Rattus norvegicus: one gene and its partners. The protein of the gene in region 2 interacts with the protein of the main gene of each other region in a pairwise test. Links are inferred from orthologs where the notes say so. Each region holds a gene or a part of one and is shown on either strand. Other genes may lie near its edges.

The links.
Region 1: the proteins of Blmh (region 2) and Ntaq1 interact in binary tests that used the Homo sapiens proteins (3 or more experiments, as listed by UniProt). The two-hybrid records come from large-scale screens. The link is inferred for Rattus norvegicus from reciprocal best matches to the Homo sapiens genes BLMH and NTAQ1.
Region 3: the proteins of Blmh (region 2) and Nudt12 interact in binary tests that used the Homo sapiens proteins (3 or more experiments, as listed by UniProt). The two-hybrid records come from large-scale screens. The link is inferred for Rattus norvegicus from reciprocal best matches to the Homo sapiens genes BLMH and NUDT12.

The regions. Positions count from the first base shown.
Region 1 is NC_086025.1:91,579,265-91,585,535, reverse strand, and holds part of Ntaq1 (protein N-terminal glutamine amidohydrolase), read right to left. Parts: intron 4,256-6,271; exon of another isoform or gene 4,129-4,255; intron 2,071-4,128; coding exon 1,971-2,070; coding exon of another isoform or gene 1,963-1,970; intron 495-1,962; coding exon of another isoform or gene 390-494; intron 292-389; coding exon 241-291; exon of another isoform or gene 1-240. UniProt on the Homo sapiens protein: Mediates the side-chain deamidation of N-terminal glutamine residues to glutamate, an important step in N-end rule pathway of protein degradation.
Region 2 is NC_086028.1:62,267,547-62,274,327, reverse strand, and holds the start of Blmh (bleomycin hydrolase), read right to left. Parts: upstream 4,060-6,781; 5' UTR 3,885-4,059; coding exon 3,872-3,884; intron 3,571-3,871; coding exon 3,373-3,570; intron 1-3,372. UniProt on the Homo sapiens protein: The normal physiological role of BLM hydrolase is unknown, but it catalyzes the inactivation of the antitumor drug BLM (a glycopeptide) by hydrolyzing the carboxamide bond of its B-aminoalaninamide moiety thus protecting normal and malignant cells from BLM toxicity.
Region 3 is NC_086027.1:106,187,484-106,193,434, reverse strand, and holds the end of Nudt12 (NAD-capped RNA hydrolase NUDT12), read left to right. Parts: intron 1-79; coding exon 80-279; intron 280-1,279; coding exon 1,280-1,390; coding exon of another isoform or gene 1,391-1,404; 3' UTR 1,405-3,774; downstream 3,775-5,951. UniProt on the Homo sapiens protein: mRNA decapping enzyme that specifically removes the nicotinamide adenine dinucleotide (NAD) cap from a subset of mRNAs by hydrolyzing the diphosphate linkage to produce nicotinamide mononucleotide (NMN) and 5' monophosphate mRNA.

The DNA.
Region 1 (6,271 bases), on a different chromosome or scaffold from region 2:
GACAGGAATTCAAACACTGTAGCCTGTAGAGGACATTTCATACACAAACCACTATAGATCCCAAAAGAAAAATTTAGAAGAACATACATCCACAATAACATCCTTTCTCAGGAGATCCCTGTATTAACAATTGTCATAGCCTTTCTCTAGTGTCCCTTCAATTCTGCTTTACGACAGCACACTGGTCACTCAGAGGCCACACAGAACAATGCATCAGAGATGCTTGGGTGGCCATCTTACCCAGATCACAGGTCCATTCTCAGGTCTTGCCTGCTGTTTCCAAATAGGTACCTACAAAATATAGGACATCCGTGAGTTTCTTCAGATCCTGGTCGGTCCTCTAAAGCAGTACACTGATGAGCAATAAACTATTCAGAAGTGGAAAGTACTTGCTGCTCTTGCAGAGGACCCAGGATTTGTTCCCAGCATCCACATGGCAGCTTACAAACATCTGTAGCTCGAGTTCCAAGGAATCCAACCCCTTCTTCTGGATTCTGTAGGCACAGTGCACACAGGGTACACAGACACATAGGTAGGCAAACACCCATACCTGTAGTCTCCCCAACCCTTCCCCCGAAAAAAACCAATCAAGCATGCTTGCACACACCTTTAAACCCAACACTCAAAAGCAGAGGCAGGTGTCTCTCTGTGAATTTGAAGCCAGCCTGGTCTACTTAGTAAGTTCCAGGCCAGCCGAGACTACACAGTGAGACCCTATCTCAGAAACAATAATTAAGTTAACTAAATTAAATTTAAAAATCAAAAATGTTGGGTCTGGAGAGATGGCTCAGTGGTCAAGCTGCTCTTCCAGAAGACCCAGGTTCAATTCCCAGGACCCACATGGCGGCTCACAACTGTCTGTAACTCTAGTTCCAGAGGATCTGACACCCTCACACAGACATGCATGCAGTCAAAACACCAATGCACATGAAATAAAAATAAGTAAATCTTTTTTAAAAAAATCAAAGTGTTTATGTTTCTAAGCAATTAATATCAACGTGAAGGGATGATGTCCCAATCCTAAGTGTTAGCGTCCTTCAGGAGAGAAGACTGCAGTGCCCTCCAGAGAGCAGGAAGGCCTAGACTAGGAGAAAGAAGGCCAGGCAGGGTCAAGTCCTGCCTTCCCGTTCAGTTATCCTGAGACCTCTCTGCATCTTTCCTTCTTCATATTTTTTTGTTTTGTTTTTCGAGACAGGGTTTTTTTCTGTGTAGCCCCGGCTATCCTGGAACTCACTCTGTAGACCAGGCTGGCCTCAAACTCAGAGATATGCCTGCCCCTGCCTCCCAAATGTTTCAGCCACTGTTGCCTGGCTTCCTTCTTCGCCTTTTTTTATGTAGAGAAAGTTAGCAGACATGGCAGTATGAGGCTGCAGCCCCAGCCTTGGCTACATAATGAGTGTGAGGCTGAAGTGCTGAGGTAACATGAGCTCTGTCTCTAGAAACAGAAGTCATTAAAATAAACCTGGCCTATTTCATAGGACTTTTATTAACCCCAAAGATGGCACAAAGGGCTGCATCTAACGATTCACGAAAGTTTACTACAGCTCTATTTAAACTACAGAGACAAACCTTTACTTCAAATCTGAGTCAGGCGGCTCTAATAACACAATTTTTAAAAAGCTCTAAGCCATACATGCAGCGTGCCTATAATCCCAGTTCTCAGAAGGGTGCCTCAGTCTGTGGCCAGTCTGGTCTACACAGTGAGTTTCAGGTCAGCCAAGGTCTATACTATGAGGCACTGTCTCAAAAAGGAAGGAGGGGAGGGAATGTAATCTGCATAAATACACCATCACACGGTTTGTCACCTAGAGTAAGGGACTAAATACTTCTAAAGTGAATCTAAATGAAACTAAATGTTTGAAAGGTTGCTGCTCCAAAGTGTATGTTAGAACAGCACAGTGTCTGCGCTGTACTTGGCTTCTCAGGTCCCCCTGAGCCTCACCTCATTCCGTCATCACTTACCAACTTACCATCTTCTTCTCATTCGATATGAAGACAGCGTAGCACTCCTCCAACAGATACTGGTTGTGTGTTTTGATGTATTCACAGAGCTTCCAAATGTTTTCCTCACTGAAACAAAATGATTGCTTAATCAATATAATTACAAGTGAACAGCTGTCTTTTGGATTTAAACAAAAGATGGGTGAGGATATAACTAGAGAAGACCGTAACCGCCTCATCTGACAGCTGGTTAACAGGTGGCTTTGGCACAGCCAACAGCTGCTAGCCCACCTGTACTGGGTGCACACGTGCAGAGGGCCCTTTCCTACCCCAGGAGGCTGACTGAGGCCAGTAAAAACTATGTCAGGACTCCAAAAGCTGAGAAACTCTGGAATCCCAACTCAATCACCACCAGGCAAAGCAGCTATGCAATTCCTTCCTGGCTTCTCCAAACCCTGCTTTTCTCCTCTGTAAAATTCAATCTTACGCCACACTGTCACCTTCCTCAAATCCCAGTACTTGGGAGACAGATCTCTTCCAATTCAAAGCCAGATAGGGCCACATAGTAAGGACCTGTTTCAAAAATAAATAGGGCTGGAGAATTGGCTTGGTGATTGATTAACCATGCCTACTGCTCTTCTAGTTTAATTCTTAGCACCACATCGCAGCTTACAACTGCCTGTAACTCCAGCTTCAGGGGGATCTGACATACTCACAAGCACAAACTCACATACACACTCACATACATATATGAAATTAAAATAAACTGAAAACATTTCCATTTTAAAAAATAAAAAAATCATTTTAAAAGTCCTTTTAGGAGCTGGACAGTGTTGGCACACGTCTTTAATCCCAGCACGGCAGGGGCAGGGGCAGGGGCAGGGGCAGGGGCAGGGGCAGGGGCAGGGGCAGGGGCAGGGGCAGGGGCAGGGGCAGGGGCAGGGGCAGGGGCAGGGGCAGGGGCAGGGCAGGGGCAGGGGCAGGGGCAGGGGCAGAGGCAGAGGCAGAGGCAGGGGCAGGGGCAGAGGCAGAGGCAGAGACAGGCAGATCTCTGGGTTTGAGGCCAGCCTGGTCTACAGACTGAGTTCCGGGACAGCCAGAGCTTTAAAAAAAAAAAAAAAAGGTGGAAACCGAAATTCATCTTCCTATGCTCTGCTCTATCCCAGCCAAATCTCTCCCTATGTGACAGGCAATTAGCTATGTGACATAGTCAGAACCTGCTTAAGCAATGCTCAGGGTATCACACTGAGCCTCCTTCCCAAGCACAGGCAAGCACAGGCACTCCTCCTAGCTGACTTCATGGCTCAGCCTCTGGGTCCCTATCTGTATGTAATGAATCAGATACACCTCTGCTCAGAATAAGCCTCATGAGCGCTCTGCTGGCCCTATCACTCACTGTTAGAGCCAATTTCTACTCATCCACACCTCACTACCTGAGAAAGACAGGAACAGCATGCAGGAAATTTATGAAATTATAGTAAACAAAAAGTATTACAGAAATGTGCTTTTTCTTTTTTTAAAAACTATTTATGCATTTATTTTATGTATACAATTACACTGTAGCTGTCTGCAGACACACCAGCAGAGGACATTAGATCCCATTACAGATGGTTGTGAGCCACCATGTGGTTGCTAGGAATTGAAGCAGCCAGGGCTGCCAACGGCAGAGCTATCTATCTCTCCAGCCCTGAAATACGCTTTTTCGATTACATTTAAAGAGAGAGACACACACAGAGACAGAGAGACAGACAGAGAGACAGACAGACAGACAGACAGAGACAGACAGACACAGAGATTTTTGCATGTCACAGTGCATGTGTGGAAGTCAGAGAACAACTTTTCAGGGACTGTGGGTCCCAGAGATTGAACTCAAGTCTTCCAGTTTGCTGGCTGGTAACTTTAGTCCCCCTTACCCCACCTACACTTTTAAGAAAGATTCAGGGAGGGCAAACTAGCTCAGAGGGTAAAGGCTAAGCCTGAGACCTGCGTGCGCTCCTGGGTATCCAGGAGGAGAAGAGAGAACCAACTCAGGTCCAGTCGTCATTCCTCAGACCACCCATGGACACTCACTCATGGACCAACTATGCTCTAGACATCGCCCTGCAGCTAAATGCTGGAACACTTCCCCCATACCAAGTCCTGTCCCACTGGTTTCGCCTGGAAGCTATGTGGATGAATAGGGGAGACAGATGTAGGGGATCCAGTCACAGAGAGGAAACTGCTTGTGCCCCTCATTACAATGGTCCCAGATTCTTCTTGGGTGCGTTGTAAACAGAGAAGCCACTCTTTAGGCCCTCTGCTCTGAGCACACCCCATAAAATGTTTATCCAAGTTCTGAGAAGACATGTGTTGGTCTGGTCTCACAGGAATTCTGAACTTAACCAGGAGCATCTTCAAGGGCATGAGATACACATCACAGCTAAGTGCTTAGATCATGAATTAATGCCTACAGACCAGAGGCATAGAGGCAAAGCACCAATTATCCCAGGGGGTCCATTAAAGGTGCATAAAGACAGCAGAGGAGGAGTCATTAGTTCAGAGAGATGGGGAAACAGCTTAGGTACAGGCTAGCAGTTTCTCCTTTTTGCCTTGTCCCCGTCTCCATCCTGAAGGTGGTTTGGAGTTAAGGCACCGTTCAAGAGTCTACAAACAGCATTAGCAGGCAGAACTCATGATATGGCTTGAATATACACTGCCCGATATTTCTCAAATTTCTGTGAATGTTACATAGGGAAAAAAATAAAATGTGGCAGTAGTGGTGATACACGCCTTTAATCCCAGCACTCAGGAGGAAGAGTCAGGTGGAGCTCTGAGTTTGAGGCCAGTCTAGTCTACAGATAGAATTTTATGACAGCCAGGGCTACACAGAGAAACCCTGTCTCCAGAAAACAAATAAATAAAAAACTAAATAAAAATAAAAAATGAGGGCTGAACAGATGGCTCAGCGGTTAAGAGCACTGGCTGTTCTTCCAGAGGTCCTGAGTTCAATTCCCAGCAACCACATGATGGCTCACAATCATCTGTAATGGGTTCCAATGCCCTCTTCTGCTGTGTCTGAAGACAGATAGAGTGTACTCATAAATAAAATAAATAAATAAATCTTTAAAAAAAATAAAGTTAAATTAAAAATGAAGCTAAAGGTTCCTTTTTTTAAAAGATTCATTTATTTATTTTATATGAGTACACTATAGCCATCCACGGACACACCAGAAAAGGAAATTGGATTCCCATTACAGATGGTTGTGAACCACCATGTGGTTGCTGGGAATTAAACTCAGGACCTCTGGAAGAACAGCCAGTGCTCTTAACCACTGAGCCATCTCTCCAGCCCTAAAAGTTCCTTTTTCACTAACTTATTTTGAGACAGGATCTAACTGTGTAGCTCTGGCTGGCTTGTTGCCACATAGCCCACTATGTAGACTAGACTAACCTCAAACTCAGAGATCCTCCTGCCTCTGCCTCCAGAGTGCTAAGATTAAAAGCATATGCCACCAAACTCAGTCATTAATTATATTCCATAACACAACTAATACAAAGTTGAGGAATCTCATGAAATTTTTGTTGTTTCGTATTTGAGACAGGATCTGGCCTAGAACTTGCTGTGGAACGGAGGCCAGTCTCTAACTTGAGGTTATCGTCCTGGCCTCTGCCAGAGGGAGCTGGGATTGCAGCCAGTGTTCTAAACAGCTTAGGCCATCTCTCTAGCCCTGCCTTTCCATGAAATGTTTGATGTTAAGGGGGTTGGGAGTGAGGTCCTTACATTTGGAAATGCTGGGAGCTACAGTAGGAATAGAAAGTACTCTGCATTTGCCCAGGCCCTGGAATCTACTTAACTGTTAAATGGAAACTAAAACAGGGAGTGGTGATGATAACATCTCCAGGATATCAGTTGATCTTATCCCTAGCAAAAGGGCTACGAAAGCAACAAAGAGCTGAGACTGCAGCCCGCGTAACCCATGAGCTGAATTTGGAGAAGCAGACACAGTGAAGCACCTAGCCCAGGGCAATGTGAAATGCAATGTAAAGTGCTGGGGGCGGGGTGTGTGTGGGAAGTCCTCAATGACAATGCTAGACAAACTCAAGACCCTTTGGGGTTCAATACTTAAGCACTGGGATAGGGATGGGGAGGAAAACCTGCAAAACCACACAGTCCCACACATCTTAGCTACCATTCTCATCATTAAGTAGGATCTGGAAAGAACAGTAACATCTAACAGAACACAGACTGCAGAAGCAGCATTTATTTCAAGACAGAAGAACTGGGAGAAACAATGCAGTTAGGTGTGCCTACGGACAAGCCAATCACAGCAGGACAAGGTCTAGAGACCTG
Region 2 (6,781 bases):
TTATGACTGTTTATAGACCACAATGCTCCAACTGCACTTCTAAAATCAAAGCCATGGGAAGAGCTAGACATTGAGACTAAATAGGAAATCACAGAAATATCACATTTGTTTGTTTGTTTTAAAGACAAAATACCATGTAGCCCACCTTGTCCTGGAGCCTACTATGAACTCCTGATTCTCCTCCTTCAGAATTTTATATATATGTCACCATGCTTGGCTTGATGTGATACAGGAATTCGTGCATGCTAGGCATTCCACCAACTTAGCTACATCCTCAACCCAGAACAGAAATATTAAATCCGAAGCAAAACAAAAGATGTGTAGTCACACAGAGAGGTTTAGTATTTTTAACACACACACATAAGAGAGAGAGAGAGAGAGAGAGAGAGAGAGAGAGAGGGAGAGAGAGAGAGAGAACTTCTAGGTTAGGCATGGTGGCACATACCTGTGACCCCAGTACTTGGGAGGCTGAGGCAAGAAGATTACTATGAGTTCAAGGTTAGCCTGGATAATGTAGTGAGTTCTAGGATAACCTAGAAACACTGAAAAAAAAATGAACAGAGATCATGAATAGATGACATGATGTCCAAAAAAGACGCAGAAGGTAAAGATGCTTTGGTTTTTTTAAGTTCTTCATAAGACATTAGTAAAGTGGGAAAACGTCCTTCTTTTTGACAATGCCCAAATTGTTGAGAACTTGGAAAAAATAAGCATTGTGCTTCTGGACAGAGAGCGCTAAGGAGATGCAAATCACCTGAGATTGATTTGGGAACAAAACTCTTAATTTGGAATGAACAAAAACCTTAAATTGGAATAGCACTCATCCTACAGTGAGTGCTAAGCTTAACAGAAGCTATTTTCTCACTAATGAGTTGTTGCATTTTAAAGGTGGTATTTAACTAACTGGGTTATATAAACATTTAAATACACATGGTAAGTAAGTCTAGGAGGAAGGAAGCAGGAGGATCACTTCAGTCTAAGAGTTAAAATATAATAATTTAAAACTTGAGACATAAATGAAAAAAAAAGTATTTGTTTCTTAAAGTCATGTTAACAACAACAAAATCATGCTAAGAGGCACCACTGCTCCAGGACAGAGATGTGGCTCAGTTGGCAGAAAGCCTAACTAGCACGCAGTAAAACCCTGGCTTCATCCTCAGCACTGCATAAACTAGACATGTAGTTAGTGCATGCCTGTAATCCCAACACTGGGAAGTGGAGGTAGGAGGAGGCTACCAAGAGGGCTCTTTCTCTACTTTCCCACTCAGTTTCCCCAGCTCCATACCTTCTGTATGCACCTGGTCATCAGAATCTCTGCCACCATTAGATCCGAATTTTCAACCACAGCACACTACCATTCCTCCATTTAGTATGTTTCTGACACAGCAAAGTTCTAAACCCACACATGATAGCGTCCCTGAAGATTTTATGACAAGCATTAAGAGCATAATCATGTTTTCATTTGCCTCTGTAAATGCATAATCAAAGCTTCTGCAATTTACCGCTTTCTGTATCAATTTGAGTTTTTAAAGGTCTATTTCCAATGACACCCATCATTTCTAAGTGAGGTCATGTCTTTATTACATTCAAATACTTTGCCTTTCAAAACTGAGGGAATCTAATCTCTGGGAGCAGTCCACACTAGTGTAGACTAGGGTAACTTCAGAGTGATGCCTTTACCAAAGCACAGCTCTGCTGTGAGGTGAGCTAGAAAACACTGAGAGCCTCTGTGAGGCCTTGAATTAAGGGTAGCACTCTCCTAGAGGAAAATTTAAAGGGTAATTCTTGACATACGTGGATATAATATTTTCACAGGCACGAAACCATGCCTCCAACACATAGGCAAATGAGAAGGTTTCTAAAAGGCAAATATAAAAATTCCTAAAGTCTGCTCTCATATTAAAAGCACTCATACGGAGAATAGACTTGATGGATAAACAGAATAAACCACTCCCCTACTGGTGCTTTGCAGATTTTTTTACACTGAACAAAAATGATTCTGTAACAAAGAAAAAAAATTAAATTGTGCTTCTGAAGAGAGTCATTTTTGTTTTAGGCTTATCTGTACACTGCCTCTCTCCTACACACTATTCCTATTTCTGCTACTCCTGGGTGAGCTATTAAGACAAATACTTCATGAAATCAAATTACATTGTTACTGCTATGCTCATACACTATTAGTATTTGGAGTCAAGTGATACACCACATAAGACCTGACCTGCTCCAGATTAACAATGTCCAAGCTTACCCTAAGAGACTGCAATCAGACCATGGAAGATTATTGTGACACATTAACTAGCCTGACAGACCACACACCCCAAGTCCTTCTGAACCAAGGCCTGTAAATGCTAAGTTCTTTCTGCCACTTAAGAAGATTATTGGAAGGGCATATATTTTTCCTTTAAAATTTAAAAAATCAAATTTACTATGGTATAATTCACTTACAGCAAAACATTACCCACGTTAAATGTATCCTTTGTGCTTTGAGTTGCTTTAAGTAACAATACTGTATTTTCTGTCCAGACACATGGTCCTGGGGTAGTGTCCAAATAAAGAAAAAAGATGCAAGGTCCCTTGAGTTCAATTTTTTTGAGACTATTTCTCCTGTTTGGATTCCTAGATAAGCAATCTCTCAGTGTAGATATATTTCTAACAGTTGTAACTGGACAGCAGACAGCAAAACAAGACTTCTCAGCCAGCAAGGAATGAGAACGCAGAACACTACAAAGTAACTACCGACAGGAACTGACCTATGAGCACGGCAACTCCAACTGCCACCACAGAGCACATTTAAAAATAGTGACCCTTTGTTGTAGTCACCTTACTGGGTTTTTTTTTTTTTTCTATTTTATGCATTTTTATTTCAGGGCAATTCTGGGACATCTTCTATGGTATGGATATTTTTCCATTGATTATTTGTGATCAAGGGCACAGGCCAAATCTGTCAGTACACAGCTCATCTCTGCTTTAGGTTTGTCTGTATGCAACCTCTCCCCTGTAAGCTGTTTCGATCTTCTGCTACTTCTAGATGAACTGTTACAATTAAAAATTGCAAGAAGACAAATTGCACATATCCAACATCATGTAATATCAAAACAGCATGGTGATACACATTCAAAGACCATCATCTGTCACGTTAGGAAACAAACTAAAAGCTAACAGGCCATACAACACCGAAGCTGCCACACAGGTAATGTTCTTGGGCCTGCCCCTTTTTTTTTTTTTTTTTTTTTTTTTTTTTTTTTTTTTTTGTACCTATTCTCTTACTACAAGTTCTTTCAATGCAACAAAGCTCTATTATCCCAAGGCCGTTTTTTAGGACGACAAAATAGGCTGCTGTCAGTAAAGTAGGCAAGAAGTCGAAGACCTCACCAGAGCTCTTCTGGTTGGTGACTGGCTTGCCTTCCTGAGGCACAACGTGCTGGAACACATGCTGAGCACCCTGGACTGTGGCCCTCTTCAGACAAATGTCCAGCAGATCGTGGGTGGTCCCGACATTCTGGGCAAGTACGAACTGAGGGTCAGAATTTAGTTTCTGGATCAAAGCAGCTACCTTCTCCGAATTTAGTCCTGTGGGGAAATCAAATGCCATTATAATTATACCCCCTCCCAAAGAGGCTGACGGGGACAGCTTTAGGATAGGGTCACTGTAGATCCTAGATTTAACTTCGCAAGAGCATCCTGCAGAGTGCTGAACCCAGAAAACCCTTTCCCGGGGCATCCTCTCCACGAGATGTCTCCCTCCTGGTGCTCTCCCGCCCTCACCTAGTCTAACCCCCATCCCACGGCCTTTCGCGCCACCGGGCCTCAGGGATCTGCGGAGCCCGGGAGAGGATCCCGGAAAGCACTCGTGGTACAAGCAGTGTCTCACCTGCGTTGTTCATGGTGCCCAAACTGCCTCGTGGGAAAACGTTAGTTTTCAGGGTCCTCAGGTGAGCTCCGGGGTTATACTACAACCCGCTGCCTAGCTGGCCGGACCTGGTTCTCGCACCCAAAGCGCCGGAAGAAGGAAACCCGCTCAATGGTGGCCGAGAGAAACGGGGTCCGCGGAGGGACAAAACTCCCCCCTCGCGTTGCTGAGTCAGCGCCGTCGGGGCTGGCCCCGCCCGGGAGGAGGGCCGACAGGGGCGGCCTTTCTGACGCTAGGGCCAGCACTGTAGCCCGGGAGCCGGAGCTGCTGGGTGAAGCCACCCACGATTGCAGCCCCCACTACCAGCATTGCTCACTCTTCGACTCGGCTACACCCTCCGCCATCTGTGATTCCTCTTCCTGGCTATAAGGGCGCCCTCCTGGAAGCTCCTAGAGGAAGGAGACTGAGGGTTCTGTGCTGATAAGCCCAGATCCCTCACTGTCTAGCACTGGGGAAAGTGATGCCCAGAACTCTTTTGAGAAGCCAGAAAGAGGTTTCATGAGGTGAAAAGGAACTGAGGGACCCAAAATTAGCCACGGGACCTCAGTATGGGTTGGCAGATCTCAAGAAATCCACCCAAAGGCTTTTTCTGTAGGCCCTTAGCTGACCCATCTGTTCATTTTTTTCCAATTGCAACTTGTTGCTTGGAGTCTAGTAAGAACGAAGTTCTTGTATTTGAAAGGATTTTGGAACAAATCTCTTTCCCACCCACCCATAAGCTACTACCACGGTTCTACAAATACACATCTGTTCATTTCATCTACACATTCTGGGTTTTGCAAGGCTCATGAGTGGTTCCTACTGAGCCCAGCTTGGGCTAAGAAGAATGATTACGTCAGTTTCATGCTTTTTTTTTTTTTTTTTTTTTTTTTGGGCAATATCTACAAAATCACACATATTCTCTCTCTCTCTCTCTCTCTCTCTCTCTCTCTCTCTCTCTCTTCAAGATAACGAATCAGTTTTTCAAGACACGGGGAATTCACTGCATATAAAATAAGTACAAACTGCACACTATAACCTTACTATTCAGATTTTTCCAGGGAGTCTAAAACCTAAGTCTTGAATCGATAATCATCCGTAGTTCAGAGGAATTCTGATATCTGGAAAGAGCCACATGCAGACACCCATCTGACATTGAGAATTCAGTCTCTATGTCCCTGACAGACTTAGCTAAAAACCTGACATTCGACATAGCAACCATCTCCAAGGGAGCCCATCAACTACCCTATTCTGTGATTTTTTTTTCCATTTTCTGAAGAAAAAAAGAAACAAGGTAAAACTCATGCTGAAAGAAATCATAGGTCCTTACACACACACACACACACACACACACACACACACACACACACACACGATGTTCAAACTTCCTGCCCAATTCAAAGAATAAAACTGCATGCAGTGTAACAGGTCCTCAGCAAGGTTCTGATGATATGAAAATTAAAAACTTTAATCTTGTCAGCAAGAGATTCATGATGTGGAACTAGGAGATGGCTCAGCCGATAAAAGCACTTGCTGCTCTTCCTAGGGACCCAAGTTTGGTTCCCAACACCCAAGTCAGAAAACTGTAAGTCCAGTTCTAATGGATTCAACCAAATCTTCCTTCTGGCTACCATGGGCACTCATCCATGTGCACGTGTATATGCAGAGACATATACATTCAAAAAAAAAGTATACTATCACACAGCAATGCAGTACAAGTAGCGAGAGCCAGATGCTAGAAAGACAGAGATGATAGGGCTGGGCTCAAGGGTAGAACACTTGTTTAGCATGCATGCCTGGATTTAGTCCTCAGCCCCACAAAAAAAGAAAAGGGGGGCAGGTGGTGATAGTTTTGAAGAATAGATGGAATTTTACAAGACAAAGAGTGTGTGTGTGTGAGAGAGAGAGAGAGAGAGCATTCAAGGTAACAGTAAAGGCACAAGGCATGAGAGCACACGACAAGATCAGACCCAAGCCTCCCTGCATCACAATTTGATGTGGTTAAAAGCAAGAACTGTAATGAGATCAGAGGCAAAGAACAGGACCAGGAAAGTAGGTTTGGGCTGGGATGTGAAGGCTTTTATATGCCACACCTGAGCATCTGGACTTTACGATTAATTAGAAGTCAAAAAATAGGTTTAAACATAGGAGCAATGCTCTCAGATCTGTGTAAAGGAAGATCTGGTGGCTACGGGGAGGGGAGAGATTCTGGAGACGGGAATTAGTCAGAATGCTACTACACTTGTAGAACACTTGGGAGATAACAACAGCCTTAATTGTAGAGAGCGAGGAAGCATGGAAAACCTCAAAGCTCTCAGTTGAACTAGAAAAGAAAAGATGACATCATTAACCAAGACCCAGCTTTTAAAACTGTTGGCTTTAACCCCATATGGGATCATGTAACTGGTGGTAGGATGTGGGTTATGAAAATTTTTGCAACAGGGGCTGAAGAGATGGCTCAACTGTTAAGAGCACTGGTGGCTCTCCCAGGGAACCTAGGTTCAATTCCCAGCACCCACAGTGTGGCTCACAACCATCTCTTCTAGTTCCAGGGAGCTGATGCCCTCTGGCCTCCATGGACTCTCTGATGTGGTATGAAAACATACATACAAGTAAAACAGCAGTACACATAATTCAAACAAAAACAAACAAACAAACAAACAGCTAAATCTTTGTTAAATTGACAATCATAAAAGGTTTCTGAACATGTGATCACCAAACTTTATTCAAAATCCAGCATTCGGTGAATTTGAAATGTGTCTGGCAACACTGAGCCTGTGTTGCCTCATAAGGCATCACTGCAGCCTGGTATTTGAATACAGGATATGAGCACTGGCCCGTGTCTGTTGTCACACCAAGCAACACCAATGAGTAATGTCTGAGAAGCCTCGG
Region 3 (5,951 bases), on a different chromosome or scaffold from region 2:
CAAAACGTTTGAACAGTTTGGAGCTCACAGTGCCCAAAGTCATGCTGACACCACCTGTTCTTTTGCCTCATCTGATTAGGGGAGACAATAGAAGACGCTGTGCGGAGAGAGGTAGGAGAGGAAAGTGGAGTCAAAGTTGGCCATGTTCAGTATGTCTCTTGTCAGCCGTGGCCAATGCCCTCCTCTTTAATGATTGGCTGTTTAGCTGTGGCAGTGTCTACAGAAATTAAAGTTGACAAGAATGAAATAGAGGATGCCCGATGGTTCACTAGAGAACAGGTAAAGTTCAATTTAATTTCCTTGTTGTATTGATTGTTCCACGATAGTATTGGTTTGGGCATGCCGCATGGAAGCATATTTTCAGCAAGTCGAACGGATGGCTGCAGCCCCCTCATTATGAATGGATTATAATGTAACTGACGGTTCCGGATAGAAAATGTGCGTTGTTAATGTGTCCCCCGACTCATTCCGCGAGATTCTTCTAAAACGATGCTGCTGTGCCAGTTCAGATTTCACATGTTGGACCTATTGATGAATGAATGCTAATCCCTTTCAGTGAATTAAAGTCTTCATGTTAGTTCAGACATCACAAATATTAATCTCAGACCTTTATGTTAAAGCCAATAGCTTTCAAAAAGAAGTCGGTAAAATGCTTGAAGTTTTTGTGTATTTTGAAAGCTAGTGCTGAAGCACATGAGTTACCAAGAGCTTGAGAGCAATACGTGGTGAGTCCCAGGCCTGGACTGAATAACAAGACTCCGTCTTTAAAATAATATATATGGGATGTGTGTGTGTGTGTGTGTGTGTGTGTGTGTATGAAGTACAAAGAAAGAAAATAAATGAAAGGCACAAAAAACATAGATGTCACTAAATACATAGATATATGTCATAATTGTCATAATATATATTTATAAGAACTTTTAAAAGTTATACCTCTAGGTCACAAAGATAAATAATTGAAATGTTTCAAAAATTGTATAGAAAATGAACACAATATATATTAAAAATGAAGACTCGTTTATGGCTTTGTCCACACGAAATTAATTGTTATCTTATATTCACTAAAGAAATCAGATTGTTGTTTCAGAATTGTGGGAAAAGGACCCCATACCAACAGCTTGTCTTCCCTTTGAAGTTAAATGCAGGACATATATTTTATCCATGGCCTTGATTTCATATGCCTTTCTGAAACATTGAAAAATTGAAAACGGGATTCACTGCAGAACTGGGAGCGCTACATTAGCTGGCCTCTAACGAGTTCATTATGACTGTGTTTCAGGTGGTGGATGTTCTTACCAAAGGGAAGCAGCAAGCATTCTTCGTGCCACCAAGCCGAGCTATTGCACATCAGTTAATCAAGCACTGGGTTGGCATGAACCCCAGTCTCTAAATGAAAAATGCTAGCCTCTGTCGAGTATCACCTAATTTTTAACACTACTTATATATCAAGAAAGAGTAGATATATGTACTGATCTTTAGAACCTTTTAACGTAAAACTTGGGAGCTTCAAAAATGTTTTCAGGTTCTTTCCATTATTAATTACAAAATTCACAGTTTTATAAACTGGAATGATGCCTCAAATTTTTTCATAAATTCGGAGGCAGCCTGTGAACATTTTTGTTGTGTTTCCCAATTTTATCTCAGAAAACTAATTGTTTGTCTACCAAGAAAGATCATGTTGGGATGAAGTGTGCTCCAGAAATGAGGTAAACCTTAATCTTTGTAAAGAGTGGACCCCTTGTTGGAGATATTTGTCAAGATAACTTTGGTGACTTTTGAGCGTCCGTAATATTTAATCATCTAATTATTATCTTCCTGGTCTTTTGTCTACTGGTAGTACTGTTGTACTATTAGTCCTAGTTTGATATGACCAGTGTTGAAAATTATTTTATAATTATAATAATTAATGTCAGTATTCACTTATGAAATACAGTAGCTTGGCACCAACCTTTCTCATCAGATCCTCAGAGCCTTAAGTAGCACACCTTAGAATGGGGCTGCTCAGCTCTATGGATAGTTAGTGCAGTGTTTCAGTTTTACAATATAGATGCATATATTTTACTTGATTGTCCTGCAGTTGTCTTAACTACATAAATTTACATATGTTGCCTCTTTACTAGTCTGGTAGAACTTGAAGAGAGCATGAACACAATAGATGTTGAACATCATCATTTTAATAGTATGCATCTAAGACCTAGATCTCCAGTGCAGTAGGAAACAGAAGCTATTACTAAAAGTGTCTGTAGACTAAGGAGCCAGAAAAATGGCTCTGTCATTAAGGTGCTTGCTGTGCAAGCATGAGTCCTTGAGTTCAGATTCTCTGCAACGGTTTCAAAAGCTGTGTTCAGTACCATCCAACTCTAACCCCAAACCTAAAGAGGCAGAGATGTGAGTATCCCGAGGGCTTGTTGGCCAGTCAGTCTGGTGAATCACTAATTGGAATAACAGACCTTGTCTCAAAACGTAAGGTGGAAAGATGGAGATGGATCCAATGTGAAGAGCACCTGTCATTCCTGTGGAGGACCAGGGTTTAGTTCCCAAGATCCTCCTCAGGCAGGACACAACCCCCCTGCAGCTACAACTTCAGGGGATCCAACACCCTCTTCTGGCCTCTGCAAGCATCTGCATGAGCATTTAATGAAGACACAGACACATAAATAGAAAGATTGAAGAATACACCTGACTTCTGTCTCTGCCCTACACCCCCCTACACACACACACACACACGTGTGTGCACACATTCCCACACACATGTGTGCACACATTCCCACACACAGGCACACACACACAATAAGTGAAAAAACTGATGATAGGAAGAATGAACTTAGCTTATCAGATGTTTTTAATTGAAAATTTAAGTATAAGGCTTAACATTTATTTAACCTAAATAATGTAACTTTCTTAGAGAATTTACTTTACTAATGAATACTGTTGCTTAGCAGTTAATGAAGGCTTTATTAAAATCAGTGCTTTGACCAAAATAGGACCTACACAGAACATTTATATATGTGGTAATTTGGACCTATATAATTATGTTAAAAGTTATACTTTGAGTATTATGAAATATGATCAGCTAAAGTTCATCTTTGCTCCAAACATGCTTTTAATATTTGTCTATTCTTATATAATGTTGTAAACTCTCCACGTCCATAATGTTAAATAGCAAAGTAAAATACACATGTTAAAAATGTACAAATTTAGTTTCAAATTCCTACTGTACTTGGGAAAATTAGTGAGTAAATTACTGTGTTTAATAATCATTCCTAAGTTTTGACATTGGAGAGGTGAGGATGCACTGTAAATTTGAAAGGTTGCTTTCTTAGCCAGTTCTGGAGGGGCATTAGATACTAATGTAACAACACATTAAATGTACTCTGTGTATTGTATGTGTTTTAAATGTTTTGATGAATTTTTTGACACAAGTATAAATTTTAGCCTGTATCATTGGTTTATTAATGGTGTTCATAAGCAAATGTACAAATCTCTCTCTTTTGTTTTTGAGCTTTGATTTCACTGTAGCCCAACGTATATAATTCTTGGATTACAGGTGGGATCCACCATATCTGGCAAAAGAATTAAAATTTTGATTTGGTGCACAAATGTAGCCCAAGAGTAATTTACTTGTGCAATGCCTCCAAGGTATTGGGTTTAAACCAAAGCTTTTTTTTAATGACTATTTTGAATCTTAAGTTTTGTAGTTTGGGGTAAAATGTGTCAACAAATGGGTTTGTGAGATCTTACGTTGTGAATAATTAAAGTCTTCAGACTTAAAGCTATGTATGTAGCACAGTCTACCTTAATTACTTGTCTACTGTGGTCAATATTTGCACTTTGAAATATTCACTTGTTTGTAGTTTGCGATGAATTGAAAGCTCACAGCCTGACCTGGCAAAGCAAGCCTGTAATTGCTGTTAATCAGGCTGAAGGCTGGAGGAATGCAAATTCAAGACCTGCCTAACAGCAAAGTGACTTTGAAACCACACTGAACAACCTAGTGAGATCCCATCTAAATTAAGAATTAAGAAACAAGGTAAGGATATTGCCCAAAGATAGAACACTCACAGGTCACATGATTCAATACACAATAACATACACATACATTCACAGCACTTAAAACTTACATTGGTATGGAAATTAGCCTGTTAAAGATACATGTAGGGGTTGGGGATTTGGCTCAGTGGCAGAGCGCTTGCCTAGGAAGCACAAGGCCCTGGGTTCGGTCCCCAGCTCCGAAAAAAAGAACCAAAAAAAAAAAAAAAAAAAAGATACATGTAGGTATCTTTAACATCCATGGGTAAAGAGAAGACAGAATGGAAAAATGTGAGACCACAAGACAAAAGGAGGAACCGCAAGCTTTGATGACACAAGAGACTATGGGAGCTAGGACTATTTTAAGGAGGCAAAGGTTGTATGTCACGTGGGCAAATGCCTGAATTTTCCCAAAGTTGTCGAATAGGTAAGAACTGCAGAAAGTAATGTGAAAATAAATACCAAGTTCAATCCTCCCTCTTCTATATCATTCTTTGTTCTCTCCCTTCTTCAAATACTAGGGTAGAAATCAAACATTTTCCAAAAGAAAACACTGATTTATTTTTTTTTTATTTTTCATTCTTTCTATGGTTTCATAGATGGATGCGTGTAATGAAATATAACTACTTCCCATCTCTGTCTTTCATTTCCTCCCTCTTCTTATAACAAATCTTTTGTCCCCTTTTGTGTGTGAGCCGTGAGTTTAATTGAAGTTGCTTGAGTGACCTTGAGTGTGGGGTTATTTACTGGAGGATGGGCAACATCTCAGTGACTATACCACTGAAGAAAATCACACACACACACACACACACACACACACACACACACACACCTGACTCCACCCACAGACCCCCAACCCCAAGCCAACATCAACTGGCAATAGTCTCTCAGGGAGAATTGAGGACTCCTGGCCCTCTCTCCATCTATGCTGAAATGCTGATTAAATTTTGTGCAGAATCTTGTTATACATAGCAGATTTTCAAATAATTTTTTGTTATTTAAAAAAATGGTCAAAGATGGCATAGGGAAATGTGTAATCATCAACCTAAATTCTTTTTGAAAAGTATTAATTTTCAGCTGCAAAATAAGCATCTAGACATGAAAACTGAACCAATATAGAAATGGCTTATTCTGTTTCACTAAAAGGGTATCCACTGCCAGGCTCAGCATGGCCAAAGAAGGGACATTATGACAGGGTTCCTGCCCCTGGGGCAGAGCTAGCAGGGTGGGGGTCTTCTCCAGTGCTGATATTTGCTGTAGGCATAAGGCTTGTTTATATAATAATGTATATAATTTTTTAATATTCCTCATTTGGGGAATATTCTCCCTGCCAAGTTTATCTCACATTGTTCTCCCTACTCCATGATAATGAGAAACAGCATGATTCCAGGAAGCAAGAAAGTGTCTGGTGTTCCTTGGCAAAATCATCAACACACTGTTCTTCAGAATAGCCCTTAAGGCTGTAGGAAAAAACTCTGAAAACATGAGTTCAAGAATATATTAAGCAATGTAAGAACTGTTTTTAATAGGATTTCTCAACTATGCAAAATATAAGGATGAAATATAAATTGTATGAGGGGTTTCATGGACCTGAAAAAAACAGAGGCAGCTGCACTGACTGAACCAGCTTTGTCAGAAAGATATTAAGGAAGGAGATAAAGAAATTTAAGGAGTATTGGTCTCAGGGCAAGACCCCATCAAGCTAAGCTTATTGTTTGTGTTTTCAGTTGAACAAGGAATAGTTTAGAATAACTACAATCAAGAAATGGAAAGCATACTTATCCAGATCTTGAGGCTGGGAAACACAGGCTTTTGATCTGGATCCTGAAGAATAGTAGCCATGGAAGGTTTAGGCCCATGAATAGTACACACCTTTAATGCCAGGAGACAAAGGCAAGCAGATTTCTGAGTTCAAGGCCAGC